4 linked regions of the Drosophila melanogaster genome follow. Changing the gene in region 1 together with any one later gene gives a genetic interaction. Each region holds a gene or a part of one and is shown on either strand. Other genes may lie near its edges. The genes, in order: Dcr-2, w, Itpr and aos.

Region 1 (7,721 bases):
CATTACAGTTTCCCCTTCGACGATGGGCGAGCTAAACACGGGCTTCGCATGCTTGTGCTCAACGAGCTGTCGTATATGATTGATGGGCACTTTGCGCGTGAACTCCTGAAGCTCCGGCTCGAAGAGATTGAAAATTACCTCCCAAGTACGTTGGAGATCTCGGCAGTCCAGGTATACGGCTGCAATAAGGGCCTCCAGAACATCCCCCAACGCCTTTGGCACATCCACGTTTGTGGACATGTTGAACTCACCTTTTGGTGGGACTCCTTTCTCTGCTTCCTGAGAAATGCATTTATTTGCATGCGGTAACTCAGTCATATCCAATTCGTCATCCAAGTCCAGCGGAGTCGGCTGAACATCAGCTTCCTCGAGCAGAATGCGCACATAGTTGGTAACCCGGTGACCCTGGCTCTCCTGGAAATTCACGAATTTGGATATGATCTCGGAGAGCTTTGCGTTCTCCGCTAGGATAAAAAAGTGCAACCGATGCCGCACGCAAATGCAGGCCAGCGTAGTATTGTTGACCAAAGCGGAACGCAGATCTGTGAGGGCGCCCGGATTCATTTTCGTATTGTTCTCGAAAATATAGGCAGAGATTAGAAAGTCGAGTATGGCATCGCCAATAAATTCCAGCTCCTGATAGGACCCAGTGATGCGATTAGTGGGATACGAGGGATGGGTGAGGGCCTGCAACAAATATCGTCGATCCTTAAACGTGTAGCCAAGATTTTTTTCCAAATAATAGTGATTTATGAGAAAGCCGTCAATTTCTGTAGTATTCACGTTCGCCCGCATTTTCTTGCCGCCCAGTTCGAGGTTCAGTAACTGAGTAAGCGGCTTGTCAATATCCGCACGGCAAATCTTGAAGTACTCTAGCATCTTGAAGGCATGCTGCAATCCGTAGTTCTTAACGATTACGCCCAATAGCGCCTCAAGGGTATCGGCTATCACCTTGTTGGGAATCGTGACCAGTCCCACGCAGAAGTTCACCTCGGATGAAAAATCGGCACCGGCATAAAAGGACTGCCCATTTGCTCGACATCCCTCCACGAAGCGGTTGTAGTTGATATCGCTGCAGTTGCCCTTCACCAGGGACTCCTCATCGCCGAGAGCCAAGTCACGGAGATTGTGTGGGCCAATAATCTTTGCGAATTCCGGATTTTCTCGCCACAAGGCTAGAACATTGTGGGGCAAACTGATGCCAGGTGGAAGCCATGTGTATCTAGGCGTAAACTGAATGGTGTTGAGCGTTTTGGGAATGTCCGCGTCGATGAGGCAGAACAACAGGTTACGATTAGACACAAGCTTGGATTTGACCTCTGTAAGAGTGCCCTCATTCCAATCCGAATACTTGCTGGCCAAGTAGAGCGTGGCACTAAGTTTTAAGAAGGAATCGCCCAGAATCTCAAGGCGTTCCATGTCGAAAACATCCGCTGCGCTCGAGGCAGTGATTGCAGCCAAAAACTCGCCCTGCTCCGCTGGCGTTATATGTTCTTTGGAAACAGTTTTTTGCAAAATGAGCAGTGGTTTTACCTTCCCGCGGACAGTCGGTTTCGACGGCATCAAAGCTGGCACGTTTGCGTTAGTCTTGGCCGGAGTTCTGTTGCCATAGATATTACCCGTGGGCATATGGAACTGATTTTTTGCCCAGTATTCCTTATCTTCAAAATCCATCTCATTCATCTCACATACATTACCAACGCTAAAATGATAGTAGTAGTCCAGCTCTACGGGATACGTACTCAAAAGATTTCGCGACAGATCAACCGGCTCCATATACTTTTGCCAGGGATTTTCGAATTCTGTTATTTCAAGATTGGCCACGGACGCCTCAATGGACTTTGTGGGCATTGGCTCTAAAAGGGATTTCGGCTCCTCGATATCCTCAGTTGGTATGACATTGCCCAAGGGGTCGACATTCCGCTTTAGCGAATAATCAATTTCTAGTGGTCTGGGCATGTAATCAGTTCCATTAAAAGGCAGCAGATGGAGGTTTAAATACGTATTAAATCGCTTACGTAAGGCCTCTGCGTGGAGAAGGAAGTACATGCGGTTTAAAATGCTGGGTAGGAAGATCAACTTAAGCCATAAATCCCCAGGAAAGTTAAAATTGAAGCATAGCTCCGGAATCAAAATAACTTTCATCTTAGCCTTGCTCTTCGCGTTGAACTTTCCACGATTATGAACGTAGAAAGTGAGCTGTTCCGTAAGGTCTCTGACCTCGATCATAAACTTATCCTTGTGAACAACATCACCAATGCGGTTGCCGTACTTTGACATGGTAAACTCGTAGTAGGTCTTGTCCTGTTGGTTCTTTTCCATATAACTTAACGGTGTTAGCTCACGGTGCACCTTTGTGACCAGCATGGGCTTATCATAGTTGGCATACCATTGTGTAACAATTTTGCCCTCAAAATCTTCAGGACGTGGAGCAGGTTGTTGCTCGCGTTGCTGTACATTTGACCCATGACTTTGCGGTAGTCTTCGGAAGTTGGTCATCAGTTCCCAGTCAAAGCATTTCTGTTCACCCGCACCCAGTATGAGAGGAACTACCAGGTAGGAGTTCTCCTTGCTGCGACGATCCAGCACAAAGAACGGATGCCAAATCTTCAAGATATCGCGGAATACCATTCCGTGAAACTGATGGAGCAGCTCCAGCTGTTCGGAGTTCTGGATAATTACTTCAAGTGGTGCATTGGCCACTCGAACGTGTAGCTTACCCTGATTGCTAAACAGGGGCATCTCTGCAAGGCGTGGCAGCTTGTTCCGCAGCAATATAGCATAATTTCTTGGTGTTTGGAGATTTAAATACATGTGTTCCGTGTACTCACACGATTCAAACTGCGGCTCCAAAAATATTTCGTAGGCATAACAGATTTCACCTACCCGCGGAAGTGCGTCGTAAAACTCTAATGGACATTCGGTCTTGTAGGTTCTGTCCTTGCTCTTATCGGCCTTGTTGACTGTCGCAGTCACTATGGTTGAAAGATTAATATAAGTAAACATATCTTATGCGAGTTCTTGTGAACCCACCACTATCGCCATACTTATTCCAGTGCTCAAAATGAACATCAGCAATAGAGGCTACGCGCTCCTTTAATGTTTTGGGCACGAATCTCTCGTTTAACTCTCCCAAACTGTAGAGTACTTTACACGCTTTGAAGGCAGCTGATATTTTGGCTGTTTTAACATTGTCCATGGGATCGCTCTGAAAGAAATGAAAGCAATTAACTCTATTTGATTTTGCCATTTTCAATCTGAATCTCTAGCTTACGTAAATTGTGTCTCTTAGCATGCAATTTACTGGCATGTTGATTGAAATTACGTGCTTGCCCTTGGCAGAAACACCAAATATTCTATCACGTTCGTCTTCTTGCAATACATGGAACCAGGGGATCACAAAGCCAAAAGCATCCGTGGGAATTGTCTGGCAATAGCGATGCAGTATGGCCAGGGCATTGTTGGGAAGCAACACGGCACCGTTCTCATTGGTAAAAGGGTCAATATCGTCCTGGAAGTGCCCTTTGATTTCGTACAATTCTGGCTCAGTTTTTTCTAGAACTCGATCCTTTAAATATTCGGCAATGTCATTATGCGCTTTTCGATACTGATAAATTTGCTGAATTGTCTTTTCCCTTTCCTTATCAGCTGTGAACAGCACGAATTTGGCCTCAGTGGTACGAGCCCGACCCTTTGACTGCACGTACATGTTAAAGGTTTTAACAGGATCAAGAATAAAGACATGATTGCAGGCCTGCACATCGATGCCTTCTTCTAGGACGCTTGAACATATCATAAGATTGGCATTACCGTCCCGAAACTGCTGAATGGCCTGCGAGACGGTAAGAGCATATTTTGAAAAATATCAGCAATTAACGATAATTTCCACACCTACAGATTTTTGCCATTTTCTCTCCAAGACGCTCTCAAAGTCTGGAGAAATATTGTTGCGGCCCACCATGAATTGGGGCGTGAGCACGTTTCGCAGCTCAGGCGTAGACTGGATGTAGTTGAGCAGCAAGCCATAGATGCACTTGCAGGTGTAGCGGCGTTCAACAAAGACCAGACAGCAGATATCTTTGGGATCTTTATCAGCGAAGGATACCTTAAGACTCATCAGGAATCGCTGCACTTTCGGGGTGGAGAAGTTCATAATGACTTCCTCAGTGTTTACGTTGTCATCGTCGTCGTCATAAGTCATGTCTTGCAGTTTTTGCACCAGCAAGTGACGGATTTTCTCGCACAAGGTCAAGGCCGTCCTATGCATCAATTTCACGCTTAGCGTCTCGGCCTGGCGCCTCTTTATATCGAACTCAACAATTAACGAGATTATGGCTATGGAAGCTGCGTAGATGCCATACTCTTTCATCTGGTACAGAAAATCGTTGAACAGTTGCTTTACAAAGCTCTTCTTCGACGGATCCCGCAGGCATTGCAATGACTTTGACCTTCGGATCGGTTGAACGCCAATATTCATGAGGTCTAAGGATACATAGAACTTTTCAATTTCTGCGCTTATTAACCTTGTAACCGTGAGCACTTGCTCTTGATGTGGAAAGGACACCATGACCTCTGTGGGCTTGGTGGCGTACCTGAAAAGAATATGCACTTGTTGGGAAACTGTAGCTAAAATGCCACCCGCTCTTACAGCATCACGTTTTCCATCTCCTTGGTGTCGGACACGGTAATGATGTTTCCCCGATATGTGATCTCTAGCTCTTTAAGTTTCGTGGCCACGTTCGTAATTTCATTTCCCTTGATTAACACCCCGGTGAGACCCACCACGCGCGGCAATTTTGTTTGATTAGCGATAGTGAACAATCGCATGAACTCACGAAATGGGTGGTGACCAGTGCCGTGGTGGCACTCGTCTATGATGACAACGCTCAGGGAGCTTAAAGCCACGTACGTCTGGGTGACCATGTCCAAAAAGACCTGGGCTGTGCCAACAAGAACCTGTTAAGAACCAAAAATTACACATGTAGGTTTAATTCTGGAAGCAGTGTATTATTATTAACTATAAATATTCCTCGAATTACACTGAAAAGTCTAACATGAATTCAATGTAATAAAAATGACCATCAAATCTACTACTCGATGATCCAGAACAATCCACAAACTCAAGTTAATTTTAAATAAACAAATAAAATAAATAAATAAACAAATAAACATACTACAAAAAAAAAAAAAAACAAATAAAATACATCAATTGACGAAATGATGATTTTGTGATGGCTTAGCAAAACACGACCCCTTACGAGCCCATAAAAATGCTGATCCCAAATTTTTCGACTCAAGTGGTGATCGCAATTGCAGTGTGTAGTGGTAGTGTAGTGTTTAGTCCGTACGTGATCATATGCGTATATAAAAAATGCCTCCGCCATCCTATACTCACTTGGTTTTTTTTGATTTCATCACTCCACATTCCGCGCGTCCAGTCATCCACTCCCTGTTCACCCACATAAAAGCCAACCTTAAAGTTGGTGCACCGCCTGACGGCCATCGCCTGTTGTCGGGCCAATTCCACAGTATTGCACATGAACAACGCACGCTTTCCGCCGCTTTCGATGGGTCTGTGTAAACAAATCGGAATCCGATATAGGTATTACATATAATAATATATATATAAATGTAAGTATCGGATATAGGTAATACATATAATAATATATATATGTATATCCATTCGCTACTAACTTGTCAAAGTCCTGCGAGAAGCGCTTTAGGACCAGGATGGCCACGAACGTTTTCCCAGATCCTGTGGGCAGGTAGACAATGCCATTGCTCTTCGTTAGGTGGTCAACCAGGCGAAGTTGATAGCCGCGAGGCTGGAAAGGATTTTGTTAATTATTTTGCAATAAGCGAGAGCGCAAGCCAATTCATTTTACCTTGATTTCCACATCTTCCATATCTTCGCTCTTGGTTACAGAGTCTTCGGGATATTTTGATATTACAATTTGAAGTCAAATAATTTACGATTAAAGAACAAAGAAGCCGGTGACAGAGTGGCCAGCGGCTCTTATAAGATGCCTTGTGTCAAACGTATTAAGAATTGTGTTTCAAAACGGACTGGTCACACTACGCAGTGCGGTTCTTTGAACTTAAATTATTACCACAAACCGCAACATAAATAAATTTGTTTTGAAATGCTCGCTGCCAATAATATACCTTCCGGAAATAATAAACGTTTCCATTTTTATCGAAATCTGCAACAAAATAATAAGCATTTTCGGTAGTGTAAGTTCGTGAATTATTTATTATTTGAATTCTTAATCAATACCAATTGTTAAGAATATATCACATCACTTTTTGACCCATACTATCCTTAGATCATTTAGACCTTCGTTTGCAGCCCTCCTCCATACGAGTAAAGTTTCTTATTTCCTCATTTTTTTCCAAGACTTAAAATCTTGTCAAACTAATTAGAATTATACTAATTGAGTCTAATTAGAACTACACTGACGGAAATGAACGAAAATTCAATCGGGTAGTTTATATACATGGTGATTCTACTTTATTGATTATGCTCTTCACTTCTTATACATAACATTTTCTTATTGGCTTAAGGAGAATATGAAAAAGTATCGCTACGACTAAGACTACGCGACATCATCACGTCTGGCTCTTGTCATCACTTTTGACACCCTTTCCTCCGGACAGCAGGTCCTGGATTTCGATTATTGTCTTGCCCTTGGTCTCCGGCACGAAGAACAGAGAGTAGAAGAAGGCGATGACCGCGATCGCGGTAAAGATCCAAAAGGTCGGACCCGGCCCGATCGAGCTCTTGAGGATTGGGAAGAGCAGCGTGACCACGAAGGCCGACAGCCAGTTGCTGGTGCCGGCAATCGATCCTGCCACACTCTTCACATCCTCCGAGAAGAGTTCCGCCATCACCAGCCACGGCACCGGTCCGAATCCAATCGAGAAGAAGATTATGAAAATGCAGATACTGCTGATCGGCAACCAACCGAAATTGTCCATTGAAGCCGGATCGTTCTCCTTTAGCTGAAAGTACACGCCCATCAGTGCAGTGGACACGGCCATCAGAACGCCAGAGATAAGGAGCAGGATGCGACGGCCAGCCTTGTCGATAATGGCCACGGCAACCAGCGTGCTGGTCACTTGGGTGACTCCAATGATAAGCGTGGCATCGCTGCCACTTATGTCAGAGCCCGTATCCTCGAAAATGGAGGCGGAGTAGAAGAGAACGGCGTTGATTCCCGTCCACTGCTGGAAGACCTGCAGGAGCACAGCGATTCCAAGACCCTTCAGGACGATGGGTCGACGAAGGGAGGACAGAATGTTGACCTGCAATAAAAATAAGACCACGTATTATTTTCTAATCTTCACCAAAATCAATGTATTTATTAGGTATGATAAGTAGTATCTGCTACACTGATTACTAAATGGAATAATGGAAACAAATTACGTACCTGTGTTCATATGTAGTTTAACTACGAAATCGTTTAAGTTTAATGCAAACCCTATCTTGGTTCAAGTTATTGAAAATCTTAATGAATGAAAACAAAATATTATATACTATCTGAATTTACAACATTTCTTTTATCAGGGTAAGTATATGTATGTATCACTTCCGATTGTGTGATAATGGAAAGAGTAATAAATCTGTTAAAGCCCTGCGAACCCTTTATAAAGTTTCTTTATGCCTTCAATATCGATCGATTTTGATTGATTGATTGATTATTAGTGGAATGTTAACTAAC
Region 2 (7,620 bases), on another chromosome or scaffold:
AAAAAATATATCCCGGTGTTTTATGTAGCGATAAACGAGTTTTTGATGTAAGGTATGCAGGTGTGTAAGTCTTTTGGTTAGAAGACAAATCCAAAGTCTACTTGTGGGGATGTTCGAAGGGGAAATACTTGTATTCTATAGGTCATATCTTGTTTTTATTGGCACAAATATAATTACATTAGCTTTTTGAGGGGGCAATAAACAGTAAACACGATGGTAATAATGGTAAAAAAAAAAACAAGCAGTTATTTCGGATATATGTCGGCTACTCCTTGCGTCGGGCCCGAAGTCTTAGAGCCAGATATGCGAGCACCCGGAAGCTCACGATGAGAATGGCCAGACCCACGTAGTCCAGCGGCAGATCGGCGGCGGAGAAGTTAAGCGTCTCCAGGATGACCTTGCCCGAACTGGGGCACGTGGTGTTCGACGATGTGCAGCTAATTTCGCCCGGCTCCACGTCCGCCCATTGGTTAATCAGCAGACCCTCGTTGGCGTAACGGAACCATGAGAGGTACGACAACCATTTGAGGTATACTGGCACCGAGCCCGAGTTCAAGAAGAAGCCGCCAAAGAGCAGGAATGGTATGATAACCGGCGGACCCACAGACAGCGCCATCGAGGTCGAGGAGCTGGCGCAGGATATTAGATATCCGAAGGACGTTGACACATTGGCCACCAGAGTGACCAGCGCCAGGCAGTTGAAGAAGTGCAGCACTCCGGCCCGCAGTCCGATCATCGGATAGGCAATCGCCGTGAAGACCAGTGGCACTGTGAGAAAAAGCGGCAATTCGGCAATCGTTTTGCCCAGAAAGTATGTGTCACAGCGATAAAGTCGACTTCGGGCCTCCCTCATAAAAACTGGCAGCTCTGAGGTGAACACCTAAATCGAATCGATTCATTAGAAAGTTAGTAAATTATTGAAATGCAAATGTATTCTAAACATGACTTACATTTATCGTGGCAAAGACGTTTTGAAAGGTCATGTTGGTCAGGAAGAGGAAGATGGCTCCGTTGATATTCATCACACCCACTTGCGTGAGTTGTTGGCCCAAAAAGATGAGGCCAATCAAGATGGCAACCATCTGCAAATTAAAATGTTACTCGCATCTCATTAATATTCGCGAGTTAAATGAAATTTATTTATCTTCTGCAAAACTATAAACTATACATCTCATTGAAAAAAACTAAGAAGGGTGTGGAATCAGGCAATTCTATCTAAAATCTAGCGAATTTGTTTCCAAGAATTGTAAGCGTTATATCATTTGTTTCCACTGGAACCACTCACCGTTGTCTGAATAAGTCGCACTTTTACGAGGAGTGGTTCCTTGAGCACCGACAGCCAGGATCGCCACAGGACCGCCCGGAACTGCATGAACCAGGTGGCCTTGTAGGTGTACCCATTCTCCGGCTGCTCCAGTGGCTTCTCCAGATTTTTGGTGGCCAACAACTGCTCCATATCCCGGGCTACTTTGCTAATGGCAAAATTGTCGCATATCTTGGCGATCCGATCACGGGACTCGATCTCCCGTCCGGGCACAACGGCCAACACCTGTACGTAAAAGTCCGCCGGATTGTAGTTGGTAGGACACTGGGCACCCACGCTGGATAGGAGTTGAGATGTTATGTAATACTAGATACCCTTAATAAACACATCGAACTCACTAGGAAAAGAAGTCGACGGCTTCGCTGGGAGTGCCCAAGAAAGCTACCCTGCCCTCGGCCATCAGAAGGATCTTGTCAAAGAGCTCAAACAGCTCGGAAGACGGCTGATGAATGGTCAGGATGACGGTCTTGCCCTTCTGCGACAGCTTCTTCAGCACCTGGACGACGCTGTGGGCGGTAAAGGAGTCCAGTCCGGAGGTGGGCTCATCGCAGATCAGAAGCGGCGGATCGGTTAGAGCCTCGGAGGCGAATGCCAGACGCTTCCTTTCTCCGCCGGACAGACCTTTCACCCTGCCGGGCACACCGATGATCGTGTGCTGACATTTGCTGAGCGAAAGCTCCTGGATCACCTGATCCACGCGGGCCACTCGCTGCCGATAGGTCAGATGTCGTGGCATCCGCACCATGGCTTGGAAAATCAGGTGTTCCCTGGCCGTTAGGGAGCCGATAAAGAGGTCATCCTGCTGGACATAGGCGCACCTGGCCTGCATCTCCTTGGCGTCCACAGGTTGGCCATTGAGCAGTCGCATCCCGGATGGCGATACTTGGATGCCCTGCGGCGATCGAAAGGCAAGGGCATTCAGCAGGGTCGTCTTTCCGGCACCGGAACTGCCCATCACGGCCAAAAGTTCGCCCGGATAGGCCACGCCGCAAACTGAGTTTCAAATTGGTAATTGGACCCTTTATTAAGATTTCACACAGATCAGCCGACTGCGAATAGAAACTCACCGTTCTTGAGCAAATGTTTCCTGGGCGCCGGTATGTGTCGCTCGTTGCAGAATAGTCCGCGTGTCCGGTTGACCAGCTGCCGCCATCCGGAGCCCGGCTGATTGACCGCCCCAAAGATGTCCATATTGTGCCAGGCATAGGTGAGGTTCTCGGCTAGTTGGCCGCTCCCTGAACCGGAGTCCTCCGGCGGACTGGGTGGCCGGAGCGTGCCGTAGTTTTTGGCCTGCCCGAAGCCCTGGTTAATGCAGCTCTGCGAAGCCGCTCCGCTGTCACCCTGCAATGATAGGGGATCTCAAATATCAACTACAAGCGTTATGCTCATCTAACCCCGAACAAAAAGTACCCCGAAGTATCCTACGAAGTAGGTTTATACTTTTATTTATTTTTTGTGCATCTAGAAAAGGTTTCAAGCTGAAAACTTTTCAATTTCACGGCGTTCGTCCATAAAAATGAAGGCGTCTGTGCATAAATCTAGCCCAGCCTGGCCAATCCCTGCTCCGCCGTCCCTGTTTCCGGGCACTAACCCCCCCCCCCCCCCTCGGCTTTATAAAGAAGGAGCCCATCTGTTTAATAAAAATGCCCAAGATCCGAGTTTTCCAAGTTTCCCAAAAAGGAGATGGCGAGGCCTATTTAAAATGTGCAAATTAGGGCTGGCACTTGGTGGATGGCCTTGAAAGTGGGCGGTGGACGGTTGACGGGGTCACAGGTCGTTGGGCGATGGACGATGGGGCGATGGGACGATGGGTGGTGGCAGTGGCAAGGTTCCTCCACCATGTTGCCACCTCATAAGACAATTGCGAGTGTAAATCGCTGGCATCTTTGGCTTTCGTTTGGGGACTTTGAGCTTCGCCAGTTTTGTTTTTATTAAATATAAAACTTTAAGGATACTTTGGCTTTTTTTGGGTGGTGGGAAAACTCAATCTCTTGTAGATAAGTGCAATGAGCAGTATAAAGCAGTCCATTTACTTGATCCAATTATGTTGAACGCAATAGTGTTCAAACTACTACTTCTGCAATTGAGTTTAAGTTTATAAATCCGAAATACAAATTCTTATTTACGTTATTTTGTTTACGGGTAAAGTGATTTCCAAAACCACTGAGCTGTCAGTTTTCGCCCAGGTGGGGCTTCCCTTTTCGAAATGGCGGTAACCGAAGACGTTTGCGGTATGGTCAAATCAAGCCATCCTCCCCGCCCCAACTTTTCGCCCCATACCACTTCCGTTCGCGCATATTTTCATTTTCATAAACAATTTTCCGTTTTCCATTTGTGGGGTTTCTTGCCATCGCAGCGGCCTGCGGCAAAGCATAAATAACAGGGATCCACTAATTGGCGTCGAGGCAAAAAAAAAAAAAAATGGAAAAAACAAGACAAAATGATGGCCACAATATGGAAAGCATTTTATCCGCCGCTGCTCTCATAATAATTTGTATAAATAATCATAAAAAAAATTAAGCAAAAAAATGCAAGCAAATGAGAAAGGCAAAATCCGAAGAAGAGGGCCAAATAAAAAGCTGACATTCAATAAAAGCAAGAAAAAATAATGTCCACCTTGCACTCAGCGCCTGGCGGTCCTTGCTACAGTGAGCCCTGCTAAGAACTTTCATTTTTTGAACTATTTAAAATTAAATTTATTTTTCAAAACGATTGGGGGATTTGGATTTATCGTTTACATTGCTACATATAAAATCTAGCTAAAAGACCAAAGCCTGAAAACTGTTGCATTTCCTCCTTAGCGAGGCTTCACTGCTCATCTTCTGCTGCGATGCTTTGACAGCTTATTCTTCTAGCCACTCAGTGTCCAGTTTTTGGCCTGTTACCAAAAAAAAAGCACAATTGGTGACGTTACGAGAGGTAGACGCGAAAAAATGTAATATCCGTTTTCAGGCACTCCTCGAGCAGAGCGAGATGGCCATATGGCTGGGAAAGAGATAGAGGGACATGGCGAAATTGTTTTCACAACAAATGAGGCCGAAAAATGTTATTAAAAAGTTTTCTTTTCTTTTCTGTTTTCGCCGTCCCTTTCCCACTGGGTTTTCTTATCTCCCTGCCTCCTCTGGTTTACTCTCCCACCTTTTCCCTATTTTCGTATTTTGTTGAAATAAGTAGCGAAAGATGCTACATTTCATATTTATTTAATTTTTTGGCTTACTTTTTTTTTTATTTACTTTGCGTGCTATTTTTGAATTACTTACGAAATACGAAGGAAACTCGAGGAGTGGGCGCTAGATGGCGCTGTGCAGGGAGGCGAAGGAGTATCGTGATGAACTTGACAAATTGAAATGACTGAATAAAGAAGCGACTCAATTTGTTGTTCCTCCCGTTTTGTCGATTGTGCGAGTGGCTAATGAGTGCACTCAAAAGTCATTCACTTTGATGAGAACGAAATACTGAAGGAGGCGCAATTATTCAGCGGAAAAGCTGACGACCACTCGATATTATTAAGGAAATATCAGAGCGTAAACGGCCCAATATGTACATATATGCAACGAACATATAATTAAAGATGGCTTCAAATATTCCATACATATCATATTTTTCAATACTTTGTTACCTTTACTGCGTTACTTACTTCCCAAAAGAATTAAAGTTCTTATCTCCTTGTATAACTTTTTGAGACTTTTCAAAATTGTTTCAAAGAGCCCGGGGCTAGATATGCAAATCGTACTCACTTATTTATTTTGTTATACAAGCCGAGGTGCTAAGAATTTAAAGCAAGATACGCACGAAGATACCTAGATATCAGATGCTGAGCCCAAAGCATTCGTCTAGCCAAATAATGACCCAGATAAGACTAGATTGTACATTTTTCGTCGAGCGAGACGTGCAAACAACGAGGTATTAAGATCAGGTAGAAGATGCGAGTACACAACCAGAAATGGATACGGATACAGTATCTAGTATCTTGGCAAGCCTAGAGTTATAGACACCCAGCAATGTTGTTGGCCAACTTAAGCCGACTCCTCCCACGCCACCACTGGTTATGCGTCCCTAATTACGATCTACTACATCCAACTATTTGGGGTCGATGTATAATGTAGTGTAGTGTAGTGTAGTGTAGCAAGAAAATATTTGAGAATGAAAGGTGGAAGAAATGAGGACTTCATGGTAAGCTTAAAATATCTGGTTGTTATATTTTTTGTAAAAAAGAATATAGTCGAAAATGAATGCCTTTAGATGTCTTGATCATGATATGATCTCAAAAATTGTCTTATATAGCGAGAACAGCTACCAGAATAATCTGTTTCGTGTCACTATTTGTTTGTGCAATTGCGGTTTGGGATTTTTGTGGGTCGCAGTTCTCACGCCGCAGACAATTTGATGTTGCAATCGCAGTTCCTATAGATCAAGTGAACTTAAGATGTATGCACATGTACTACTCACATTGTTCAGATGCTCGGCAGATGGGTGTTTGCTGCCTCCGCGAATTAATAGCTCCTGATCCTCTTGGCCCATTGCCGGGATTTTTCACACTTTCCCCTGCTTACCCACCCAAAACCAATCACCACCCCAATCACTCAAAAAACAAACAAAAATAAGAAGCGAGAGGAGTTTTGGCACAGCACTTTGTGTTTAATTGATGGCGTAAACCGCTTGGAGCTTCGTCACGAAACCGCTGACAAAATGCAACTGAAGGCGGACATTGACGCTACGTAACGCTACAAACGGTGGCGAAAGAGATAGCGGACGCAGCGGCGAAAGAGACGGCGATATTTCTGTGGACAGAGAAGGAGGCAAACAGCGCTGACTTTGAGTGGAATGTCATTTTGAGTGAGAGGTAATCGAAAGAACCTGGTACATCAAATACCCTTGGATCGAAGTAAATTTAAAACTGATCAGATAAGTTCAATGATATCCAGTGCAGTAAAAAAAAAAAATGTTTTTTTTATCTACTTTCCGCAAAAATGGGTTTTATTAACTTACATACATACTAGTGACAACATGTTTATGTTTAGCTAATGTGTTCCGTTCAAAATAATTAAAAATTCGACCACCTTTGCACCAATATGATAGTACCCCACCTGGGCAGTACTCATAAGCTGAGTGGCTGTCTTTGAATACTGATTAGGTTGAGTGGGAAGCGTCTTCTTATCGTGAATAAGAGAGTTCTTGTTAATCCGCCTGTTGTCGTCCCGTTTCGGGGGTTTGCACTGTACTTTGCATGCATGATTTATCAAACGGCGACTGTTGATGATGCGCATTCCGCACTCCCCGTTTCCCGTACGCCTATCCGCACCCGTACTTCGGACACTCCGGTCGTTGTCGTCATCGTTAGCACCTCATCTCAGGCCCCGGAATCATGAACTGCCGCCATCAGCTGTCCGGGCATTATCAATCTTCATCATCGGGGCCAGTTGGTCCAGGATATGGATCTCGACTGGGACGGGTTTTCCGGGAGGCTATCAATACCATTTTCACGGACGATGTGGTAACAGGTTAGCAGTTGCAGTTGCCGAGGAATCTGCAGGAATTAATTTGCTGACGACGATTAAGTGGTCTTCAAATGAATATGGTTTTCTTTTGAGAGTTTAGCTCAGAATAATAGCTTTTGATTCGATTTGCAAGTTAATTATGCATATGCATGTGATATTTGTAGAAGTCTCACTCAGCACTAGTAACATTATTTCATGTGCCAGTTTTAATGCATATATGTTCTGCTCTACAACAGCTTCAAAGTTCGAAATAAATGATTTTCCTATTTCACTGAAGATCTTTAGCTGACTCAAAGTTAGATGTATGTACGATTCGTAAGAGACTTCCTTTGTGGGCCGATCTAGCGACAGACAACAAAGAAACGTCAATGTTTCACTCATTTTTGCCAACTAACCGAGTTTTTCGCTCAGTGACACTTATGGGGCTTCTTCGATGTTGGTTGAGTGGAGCTCGAATCGGGTTTAGACCGTCTTGAAGTTCGTGTTCGTGTGTGTTTGCCATTACTAACTCACTCAAATGCTGTAAACTTTTTGCACTTAACAATTTATTGTCACTCGCCTGTCGCAGCAGCGAAAGAGCTGAAAAATGGCATTACAACAAAAAGTGCTTAAAACCGATTATGAAATGCTCTAAGGGAATGCTGTAATTAATTAGTTTGCCGTTTTTATGCGCTCTAAATCAATAATAAAGTTAATTGCATACGTATAAGTATGCAGTTCATTTTTTTTAGAGTGGCCTTAACTTGATTTTTGCTTATTAGCCCTGCAATTGAACATTTTTTTTTGCCCTACCTTTGG
Region 3 (4,667 bases), on another chromosome or scaffold:
TATTTCATTTGAATGGTTCTTTACATTTGTACCCAGTTTGTAATATTATATATTTTTATTTAGAATAAGTGACAAATAAGTACCGATAATACTTTAATGTTGCCAAATAGTAGACAATATTGTAAATCACTTAGCTCAACTAAAGACCATCAATAATTAAAAAGATAATTATGATTATAAATCTTAGCTTTCTAATAACCAAACCCCTACAAACTCCTTCTATATATCATTCTGCAAACCTGGTTCATAACAACAAAACGCATTTAAAGTAATATTGTATAATTATAGTTCAATTTGCACATTTAAGCACTCTTTCGCTCTAAGAGCTCCAGTTGGTTAGCTCATGGATATTGGATTCTGCTGGCGCATTACCGCTTGTCATCATCCCATTTCCGAATCATTTCCCCTTAAATTATGGAAATGAATCGAACCAGGTCGGGTTAAACACAGATACGAGTATGTGAGCAGCTTCAAGCGATGGAGGAATGGTCGGAAATGAGCAGGTAATTGCATTTGGCCACCGACTTACCCGATTCTCGATGAGCTTGTCGCACACATTGAAGACCGTCTTGATGGGATTCTTGTCCATGCGGATGGTTTTGTCGTAGTAGGTGACCTTCCGCGGCACATACTGCTGATCGAAGTTGAGGTGCTGCGGTTGGATGGGAAAGCGTGATTATCGCATTCGGATTAGTGGAGCATCCAGTTAGTCAATGGGCTTGCCTTTATTGTGGTGCTAAAGTGCTCCTCGCTGTCGGAATTGCTCAGTACGCCGCCAATGTTGTACGTCGAGGGATTATCCGAGGCAGTGTGCCTCTGGGCGGCATCAATTGGCGCCACCAGGAGAACAATGGCGAGCCCAAACAATGGCCGGCAAAAAACAAACTCAGCCATAGCCATGATGCGGAAGTCTATAGTTTCTGGGGGAGGATAAACGAGGTGTTTTGTGCAACGATTTCAATGGTTTCTCGAGCAAACATCCAGCATTTTCTGCAAGTCGAAAAGGGGAGATGCCGCATATTAATGGCATTTTCCATTTCCCATTGCAGCAATGAGAATGGTCAAAGACAAGATTTCTTAAAGTTTATTTTGCTCATTTTTGAAAAAGCAGAACTTTGAATTCGCGGTGTTTTCTTACATATGTGGTAATGCCAGATCGCGAAAAAATGAATACCAACGCAAGATCGTTAGAGTGACCATTTCATTGTGTTAATAGGCATTAGAAGCAAAATCTAAGTATGTGAGTCGATGAGTGGAAAGATTTTAATCCTCGGCCAATCTATCAACATTGATCTGGAATTTTCAAGCACAGATGACTAAAAAACTATGAATATTTGAATAAGATTCAAATCTCTACCCTGTGCTGCCATGCTAACTAGTATTTAGAGTATGTTAGTATTTTATCCATGCGCTCCCATCTAATTTATCATATGGTTGGTTCTGCGGTTTTCAAACACTTGCTTATGTCATTCCTTGTCAATAGTAAATGCAATTAACGTGTTACTGTCAATAATTCTATATATGTGTGCATAAAACAGTTAAGATGTCAATTACACCATTTATTAACGGCTAACTAGTATTTTTCGCGCGGTCACACTAATCGATCATATGGTTCGACGGTTTTTAAACACTTGTTGCTCGACCGCGCTTTCAGTCGGACGTGTTTTCGCTGGGGTTTTCCGCGTCGGTCCGCCTTATCTGCGCTGCGCTGGCACTTCGTTGGAGTGAGGGAGACGGAGGAGCTGAGCGGTACGGTACACGAAGTCGCGCATGACGCGGCGCTCTGGAAAATTGCATTTTCATACGCCTTGAGCGCGTAATTTATGCCCGAAATGCTGGCCAATTTCAATTTGTTGGCCTAAACGCGACGTGCGTGTGTGGGTGTGTGTGCGTGATTGGGAAAAGTGCGTAGAAATCGACAATCGTTTTGTTTGCCCGCGCTGCTGCTGCGCTGCGACTGCGCTGCTTGTGGGTGGTCAACGGGATCGTGGGGTCGGGAGAGCCGATTGTTGACGTTGTATCGCATGCTGCCTCTCTTTCCCGCAGCCGGAATTGTTTGTCGCGTGTTTTAACGGTTATTTCTTATTGACAAAACCTCCTCTGCCGACGTCGCTGCCCCGGCATTGTTATTGTTATTGTGTGTGGTTTCTGGGCCTTCTTCTTCCTCCTCACCGTATTCCCACTTATTGTTATTCTCTCTTTTCCGCGGCTAAGTGCGGCCCACTCAAGGTGAAAATATATTAAGTTCTTTCGAGTGCCCGCGAGTGTTTGCATTTGAATAAAATAAATATAAAGTCAAATTCGATTTACGATCGTCGTCTATCGACGGATGATTCAATACCAATCACAATACAGTAGCACATCTCTACAAGGGATATTTTACATTACATACATTCTACGGTGAGTATCCCACGACAACGACAACGACAACCTGTTGCCAATCGAGCCCAGTTACTGGTTTTTCTGGTTTCCCGAAGGGCTTGCCACCAATTTAAGTAGGTCATAAGGCAATAAGCCTATCACGACCGAACCGATAGGCTAATTACCGCGATAGCTATTATCTAGCAGTCACGCCCTCGCCTTTTGATCCCACTTGATTTTGATTTCGTTCTTGCCTCTTGCTTTCGCTCAATAATTGACAATAAGCCAAAGCGAAAGGGCCAGAAATGCGCTGAGATTCAATTACGTTGCAGTGGCCACTATTTGTTGCTTACACGAATAGAAAAGCTAAGGAAAAAACATATAAATCCCACTGATTGAAGACATTTGCTTATCGGGGGTATGGTTCTATGCCAGCTACTCAAACAAAATATAAATAAATCCTTAGGGAATCAACTCCGAAGTCAAGTGTTGATTTCAACTCAAGCCACTATGTATATGAACGTGATGCTTTCCAAAATTGTTTTGTGGTGAGAGGGATTGTTTGTTGTTATACAAAAATTCTTCAAATGGGAGTGTTTAAGAATTATAATGACGAAGTAACATAGTCATAATTAAAACTCGTATTTACTCGTAGAGTGAAAGGGTATACCGGATACATATATTATTGATCAGATCGAGATTTCGGGATCTATAAAATCTAGATGTGCAAGTTTAATTCACAACGTCCGCGCCCACTCTAACGCCCACAAACCGTTCAAAACAGTCACGCCCACAGTTTCGAGAAAAGTTTGGATTTTTTTAATCCTAATATTTCTTTGTCAGTTCCTAAAGTTATGCAAATCACTTTTGGAAATTTCTCACTTGACGTCCTCTGAACTGAATGCATCTGCGTTCGAGAAAATCAACTTAGCGCCGATATTTTCTCTCAGTGCACACATCTTGATTGCAGACAGCGGAAAAGAGAGAGAGAGCGAAAGGGAGAGAGAGAAAGAGAGATGCTGACTGGGCGACGCGTGCTTAATTAAGCGCCACATTGTTGTTGGTGTTGACTGGGCAGGTGGCGAGCTATAGAGTAAGAGGCAAGATGAGGGATACCAAAAAAGATGGGGGAGGGGGATGAAAAGTGGACGTGTTGAGCCTGCTGCACGCGATGATTTCCATTACCTGGGGTAAAAAAATGGCTTTTCATCGCCAAATTCCTCTCTGGCCAAGTTTTTTTGTTGCGATTGAAAGAGCGCACTTCACTACTTCTTGATTTGCATGTAATCATGATTGGGTTAATGGGCCTATGATCACACAATTACGATCAATTATATTCACATTATAATGTCGAACAAATTACTAAATTATACAATCAATGGGACCAATAGATAGTATGTGCAGTGAGTTTCATTTATTGAAGATAACCAGTCAATTGAGATGTCATTTGCGGGTACTTTGATCAACCGGCTAGAAAATGTACATATATATTCTAATTTTTAAACGCTAGTTCGGTATAGTATTAAAATTTTTTTGATTATTATGTTTTTGTGCAATTATATATGTATATTTAAAAAAAAAAGTTGGAACTTGACAACTATTTTCTCTTTAACCACGATTCAGATGTCATCAATTTTAATATAAAGAGTTAAAAAATTCACAATTTGTTTTTGTTATTCTCTCAGAATCCCTCAACTGTAGTTGATAATTCTCCAAAAGTTGTCGTATAATTGCATTTGACATACTGATAACGTTTGTGCATGATTTTTAATCAATAAATTTTACCAACCAGCCAAATTTGTTCAGTTTTGCCACTTGTCACCATTTAAACAAACTGACCACAAAGATATTACATTAAATAAATAAAACACATTGAAGATTCTCAGGTATGCTTATTTTTTTGACCACAATCGTGTGTTTGCTCCAATTTATGTGGGCTTGCCATGAGCATGTGCATAATTCGAAGCTGAATTGAGCAGCTGGTGGGGATTTTGTGGAAGGGGGGGCGGTAAAGTGGCCGGGGTTGGCGCCTGGGAGCGCCAGCAATTAACATAAACAGGCAAATTGTGTAAGCGACATTCTGGAGCTGCAAATAAAATATAAGCGCCCGCCCCCCGCCCATCCGATGTGCACAGCCCACTTGGCTGCAATTATTAAGGGTGTGTGTGTGTTTGTTCGGATGCGGAGGTCGGGTGTTATCAATGAAGCAGACTGGATGAGAAGCAAAGTGTTCTCATCAGCGCCAGTCTGGTGTGATTGTGTGAGTATCTGTGTGCTTCACGTTTTTTCTGCTCAGGTGGGCCGAG
Region 4 (4,757 bases), on another chromosome or scaffold:
GAAAAGGTTAAATGGAACAGGGAAAAGGGAAACCACCTCCAACTAACAATGGCCGCCTTTCAGTTGGAGTTGTCGGTTCTGCTTAATGCTCCTATATCGCCAGCTCTTTCTTGTGTTCTTGTATTGTTGTTGTTTTGGCTATTGTTGTTGTTTCTGGCGCGTCTCAAGGTAACTCGTAAACAAATGAAATCTTATCGGGTTTGGCCCATAAAATTGGCGGGCTTTCTGCCGAACCTCGCGCGTTTTTCGCTTGAACTTCCAAGCTGAAGATGGAGATGAAGATCGTTTCCAGGTCTCTCTCGTACTCTCCATATACACTATCTTGGGGCATTCATATTTTTTTTAGAAGAATATTGAAAGGAATAATCACAAAGGAACAACCCAAACAAAAAAAAAAAGACTAACGAAACAGACTTTTTTGAAAACCTCACAAATTGACAATCAAGTTATCAAAGGCACGCCAAAAATACGAAACTTTTTTTTTAACATTGTTACATTACTTTTACATTATAAATGTATTGTAGTATAAAAATTGGTGTTAAATAAACATTACATTTTCTTGCAACTCTCAAGCATGTATTACTATAAAAGTTTATTGATAGACCCAAATCCATTTAAACTTTATGATCTGTAATTACCAAGGTAATTAGCGGTTTATTAGCCGATTTTATAAGCCAGTTCGCCACTAAAGCTTTGTTTCGAAGGGCATTTAAAGCATCGACTTTAAGCTCGATCTTCCTTTTGTGTTAAACTCTTTTCTGGATTCTTCTCCAGTTGTTCTTTTTTTGGCATGCGCTACAAGAATAAGGCCCAAACATGAAACCATGGCAAAAGGAGAAGGTTGAACGATGAAGGCCAGGAGGAGGCGGCGGCCCAAGTCCAGGTCGTTGTGGCTAAGGCAGGAATTAGTTTCCGGTGCCGTAGTAAAAATGACAAAAACAACACGGCGGCAGCAAAAACGGCCGAAAGGATGCAACGGAAGCGGCAAGAGCCGCTTGGCTGCGAAGTCCCCTTTTAATTTTTTGTTATTTTGTTGTATTTTATTTCGTTGTTGCTTTTGCTTTTGCTTTAAGCCAAGCACGCGAGCCAGAGACACCTTGCCATCCGCTCGCTCTCACCAATACAGCCGCGCTTAGTCACAGATGCATCTCACAGATGCGCGCACGCACACAGGCGCAGCAGCAATGGATGCTGCAACCACCAGCGGAAAAAGGCAGCAACAACATGTTCATTCATTCATATCCAGCCCACTCTCTTTCGTGTTCTCTCACGTTCGGACGCTGCCGCTCATGCACTGGGAACAAATTCGGTTGACCAAATATGTGAAAAGACAACAGTGGGTTCAAAAGACTGCTTTGAATACTTTTTGCGTAACACACTTTCTCTTTTAAAGATTTCGTACTACTTATGATTTTACCTCTTTGTTATAAGATAATAACATTTTTTGTTAGATGTACATATTTATTTGATTGAAAATTTATACTACTTTATAAAAATTCTTATACAACCAATATAATAAATAATTACATTTTATTGAATTGAGAATAATAAACAAATTTTTTTTTTTTTTATATTACTATTAATTTCTCTGTTTAATCGAGCATTTTCTCTCAGTGCACAGACACGCACATACCGGCAGCGACGCGAGCAGCGCACTTCTCTGCCGGCTTCAACGGCTCTCGTTCGCCGCGCGCTGTTCGTTTTTGGATTTTCTGTTTGATCAGTTCGAAAAGTGAGTTGGTCGAGCGAACAACGATAGAGCGAGGGCAGAGTAACCGAGGCGATACGATACGATATAATATAGCATCGGTACCATTGGGTATACGTTCCAGGAGCGAAAGAAAAGACGAAAACGAGACGAGACGAAAGGCCACCGGAGACAGCGACGTCGCGGGTGTTAAGTTACTAAATAGCAAACAGAAACTACCGACCACCGACCGATTGCAGTGAATGAAATATCCAATAATTTCGAGTGACATTCGCCACAAATCAATCGATCGTTCGATTTGAAACCTGATTTGTAGAGTTCGTTTCTGCCAGTGTGTGTGTGCATGTAAGCCATGGGTTCTGGGCGAGCGAGTGAGATAGAGCGAGAACACTGATTCGACTCGATTCGATTCGATTCGATTGGATTTGATTCGAATTCAATTACAAAATTCATTGAGTGTCAATTACAAACCGCAAGAAAACAACACGCACGGAGATTCGGAAAGATCCCAAGATCCAAATACAAGATCCAGATCCAGATTCTCGAACATCCAGAGATCCCAGCCAGAGTCAGAGTCATAAATCATGCCTACGACATTGATGTTGCTGCCGTGCATGCTGCTGTTGCTGCTGACCGCCGCTGCCGTTGCTGTCGGCGGCACGCGACTGCCGCTCGAGGTGTTCGAGATTACGCCGACCACATCCACAGCGGACAAGCACAAGAGTCTGCAGTACACCGTCGTCTACGATGCCAAAGATATTTCAGGAGCAGCGGCAGCAACTGGAGTGGCGAGCAGTACAGTGAAGCCCGCCACCGAGCAACTGACCGTTGTGAGCATTTCCTCCACAGCGGCTGCGGAGAAGGATCTCGCCGAGTCGCGGCGACATGCGCGACAAATGTTGCAGAAACAACAGCAGCATCGCAGCATCATCGGCGGCAAGCACGGCGATCGGGATGTGCGCATCCTCTACCAAGTGGGGGTGAGTAGCTAGCAAGTACTAAATTCATTTGATTAGCCTGGCTAATTGCATGTTTGCATTGATCGGTGGGGCTAAGTAAAAAAGCATAAAATAAAACACAAGGTACCAATGAAACCAACAACTGGCAATGGCAGGTTGCATAATGCAGGCAACAACGTCAGCAGACACCTGTTCAACTGGTTGCCATTTGTAAAATGCCCACGCCAGCGGTATCAACGGCAACAGCAGCATCTACACAGAAAACAATATTGATCGATTAGATAATTTCAGTCAAATTAGGGAAAAGCAGATCGGCTAACGGTCTGCCATACCAATTTATCAAAGAACTCTCAAAACAGTCTCTTATCTTCGGATTTGTAGCTTAATCAATTAATCAGTCAAATGTATTATAGCATAGATATATCTTAAATGTCATCGCGCAAGTCAACCTACGATTTCTTTCTCTGCACAGCAGGTTTTGCAATGCAACTTTTTTGGGCTGGGTCCGAGTTTTAGTTCGTTATTTTTACATATTTTTTTGCTTTTGTTCAGAAAACTCTGTCTATATTTAGCAGCCGCCCTATGGCCATTACACTTGACACCCACAAAACCACTATTCATATATCACCATACGCATATGGCACATTTAATTGCAGCGGCCACACTCGCTCTAGATGAAAAATGAAAGTTGTTTGCAGTCGGAGAGCTCAACACATCAACTGATCTGTCGCATTTGATCAATTAAAGTCGCAATTGCCATACAACCGAACGATATGAGCGATACCAAAACCAATTAGCCGGGCGGGTCAAGAGTTCAATGCTGGCTATTCATGACTAAGCCGACGGTACACCAAAAAGTTCTTGCCGTTATCTTTCCCCTTAAATCCGCTACAATGCGAATTCAGATCATAGGTCACCGCGGTTCCATTGTTCTCACTCCCGATCTGGCCATAAATCAAGTGTCCATTGAGAAAGAGAGGGGCTTGGATCGGTCATATATCATGTATCGTATATCTATTATGTCAAATGTCATACGACAGAACACGCCCTGAAAATCGAATTCTTGCTTGATGTTTCTACGAGGCCGAGGCGTGAAGTATCAACCCAATAGTAATCAAAAGCAAAATATTGACAGCATAACCAAGTCAGCCAAAGGGGCATGGCAGCAAAAAGGTTCGACTTAGAAATACCCTTGCAAAGGATCACTAACTAAGTGTGTAATAATCGGCGAGAAATTACCAATGCAAGGAAATTCTTAACTTTCTATCAGTACATGTGTAACAAGTAATAATCATCAAAACATAATCATGGTATAATTTGTAACTTTATAAAAAGCCCAAGCGTATCCTTAAACTTCTCACCCAAGTAGATAATACCATTTTAACCTTCTTTCAAGCCAAGGCGTTATGGTTCGACTTGGTTCATAATTTTTGTAATCCGAATGCATGCAATAAATTTTGGAACGCATATACATATAAAAAAAAGCATAACAAAGCAGCATCACAACACAACACCTTAAATAGACAAACAAAAAATTGAGCAGAGAATTCCTGTTGTTTGGAAACTTGCAATAAAAACGCCTTATTGGAGAATAGAACACAACGGAATAGATCCACAAAAGGCTGTGAATGAGCAGCCGGAAAGAGAGGCAAATAGCCAAATGGAAAGAGACAGGCGCAGGGGAACGAAAGAGACGGAGGGAGGAAGGAGGCTGGGAGCGAGGGAGATGAAAGTTTATAGAAGAAAACAAAAAGTTCCCATGCTTAAAAGCGCTAAACATTCAGTTCCGGTATTTAAAAACGTTTTCAACAGCCACGACTGAGACGGGGATAGAAGGAGACGGCAACAGCGGGGGGAGGGAGGGAGACGGGTAGACGGGGAAGACCTGAATGAAAGAAAATTCATGAATGAAATACGACCACGACGACTACGAGAAGTCGATGATGATGGTCATAATGACGGTGGTACGGTTTGGTATGGTGTGGTATAATGGGTGAAATGGAGGGGAGTCAGGGGCGCGATGCGGTGGTGCATGTGTGAGTGGCTACACTGAGCAAAGTTCTTTAGTGTATTCAATACTTTAAATCGAT

Evidence for each region.
Region 2: of Dcr-2 (region 1) and w, changing one suppresses a phenotype caused by changing the other (phenotypic suppression), as found in Drosophila melanogaster (3 studies listed by BioGRID).
Region 3: of Dcr-2 (region 1) and Itpr, changing one enhances a phenotype caused by changing the other (phenotypic enhancement), as found in Drosophila melanogaster (one study listed by BioGRID).
Region 4: of Dcr-2 (region 1) and aos, changing one enhances a phenotype caused by changing the other (phenotypic enhancement), as found in Drosophila melanogaster (2 studies listed by BioGRID).

What each region holds. Positions count from the first base shown.
Region 1 is NT_033778.4:17,575,521-17,583,241, forward strand, and holds the start of Dcr-2 (Dicer-2), read right to left. Parts: upstream 6,006-7,721; 5' UTR 5,907-6,005; coding exon 5,886-5,906; intron 5,826-5,885; coding exon 5,695-5,825; intron 5,574-5,694; coding exon 5,396-5,573; intron 4,957-5,395; coding exon 4,649-4,956; intron 4,593-4,648; coding exon 3,896-4,592; intron 3,833-3,895; coding exon 3,275-3,832; intron 3,209-3,274; coding exon 3,034-3,208; intron 2,976-3,033; coding exon 1-2,975. Other genes in the region: CG6484 (uncharacterized protein), read right to left, coding at 6,610-7,305.
Region 2 is NC_004354.4:2,790,464-2,798,083, forward strand, and holds w (white), read right to left. Parts: upstream 6,004-7,620; 5' UTR 5,846-6,003; coding exon 5,774-5,845; intron 2,666-5,773; coding exon 2,392-2,665; intron 2,318-2,391; coding exon 1,663-2,317; intron 1,602-1,662; coding exon 1,286-1,601; intron 1,083-1,285; coding exon 951-1,082; intron 881-950; coding exon 266-880; 3' UTR 136-265; downstream 1-135. UniProt on the Drosophila melanogaster protein: ATP-dependent transporter of the ATP-binding cassette (ABC) family which transports various molecules including bioamines, neurotransmitters, metabolic intermediates and second messengers.
Region 3 is NT_033777.3:5,515,489-5,520,155, forward strand, and holds the start of Itpr (inositol 1,4,5,-trisphosphate receptor), read left to right. Parts: upstream 1-1,628; 5' UTR 1,629-2,400; intron 2,401-4,667. Other genes in the region: Nmdar1 (NMDA receptor 1), read right to left, coding at 530-652, 724-900. UniProt on the Drosophila melanogaster protein: Receptor for inositol 1,4,5-trisphosphate, a second messenger that mediates the release of intracellular calcium. Together with MCU, has a role in oxidative stress-induced ER-mitochondria calcium transfer.
Region 4 is NT_037436.4:16,480,612-16,485,368, reverse strand, and holds the start of aos (argos), read left to right. Parts: upstream 1-1,718; 5' UTR 1,719-2,292; coding exon 2,293-2,688; intron 2,689-4,757. UniProt on the Drosophila melanogaster protein: Regulates cell determination; development of ommatidia and optic lobe. Is a signaling molecule involved in the process of axon pathfinding in the eye. Part of the Ras pathway regulating programmed cell death in pupal eyes; activated by lozenge (lz).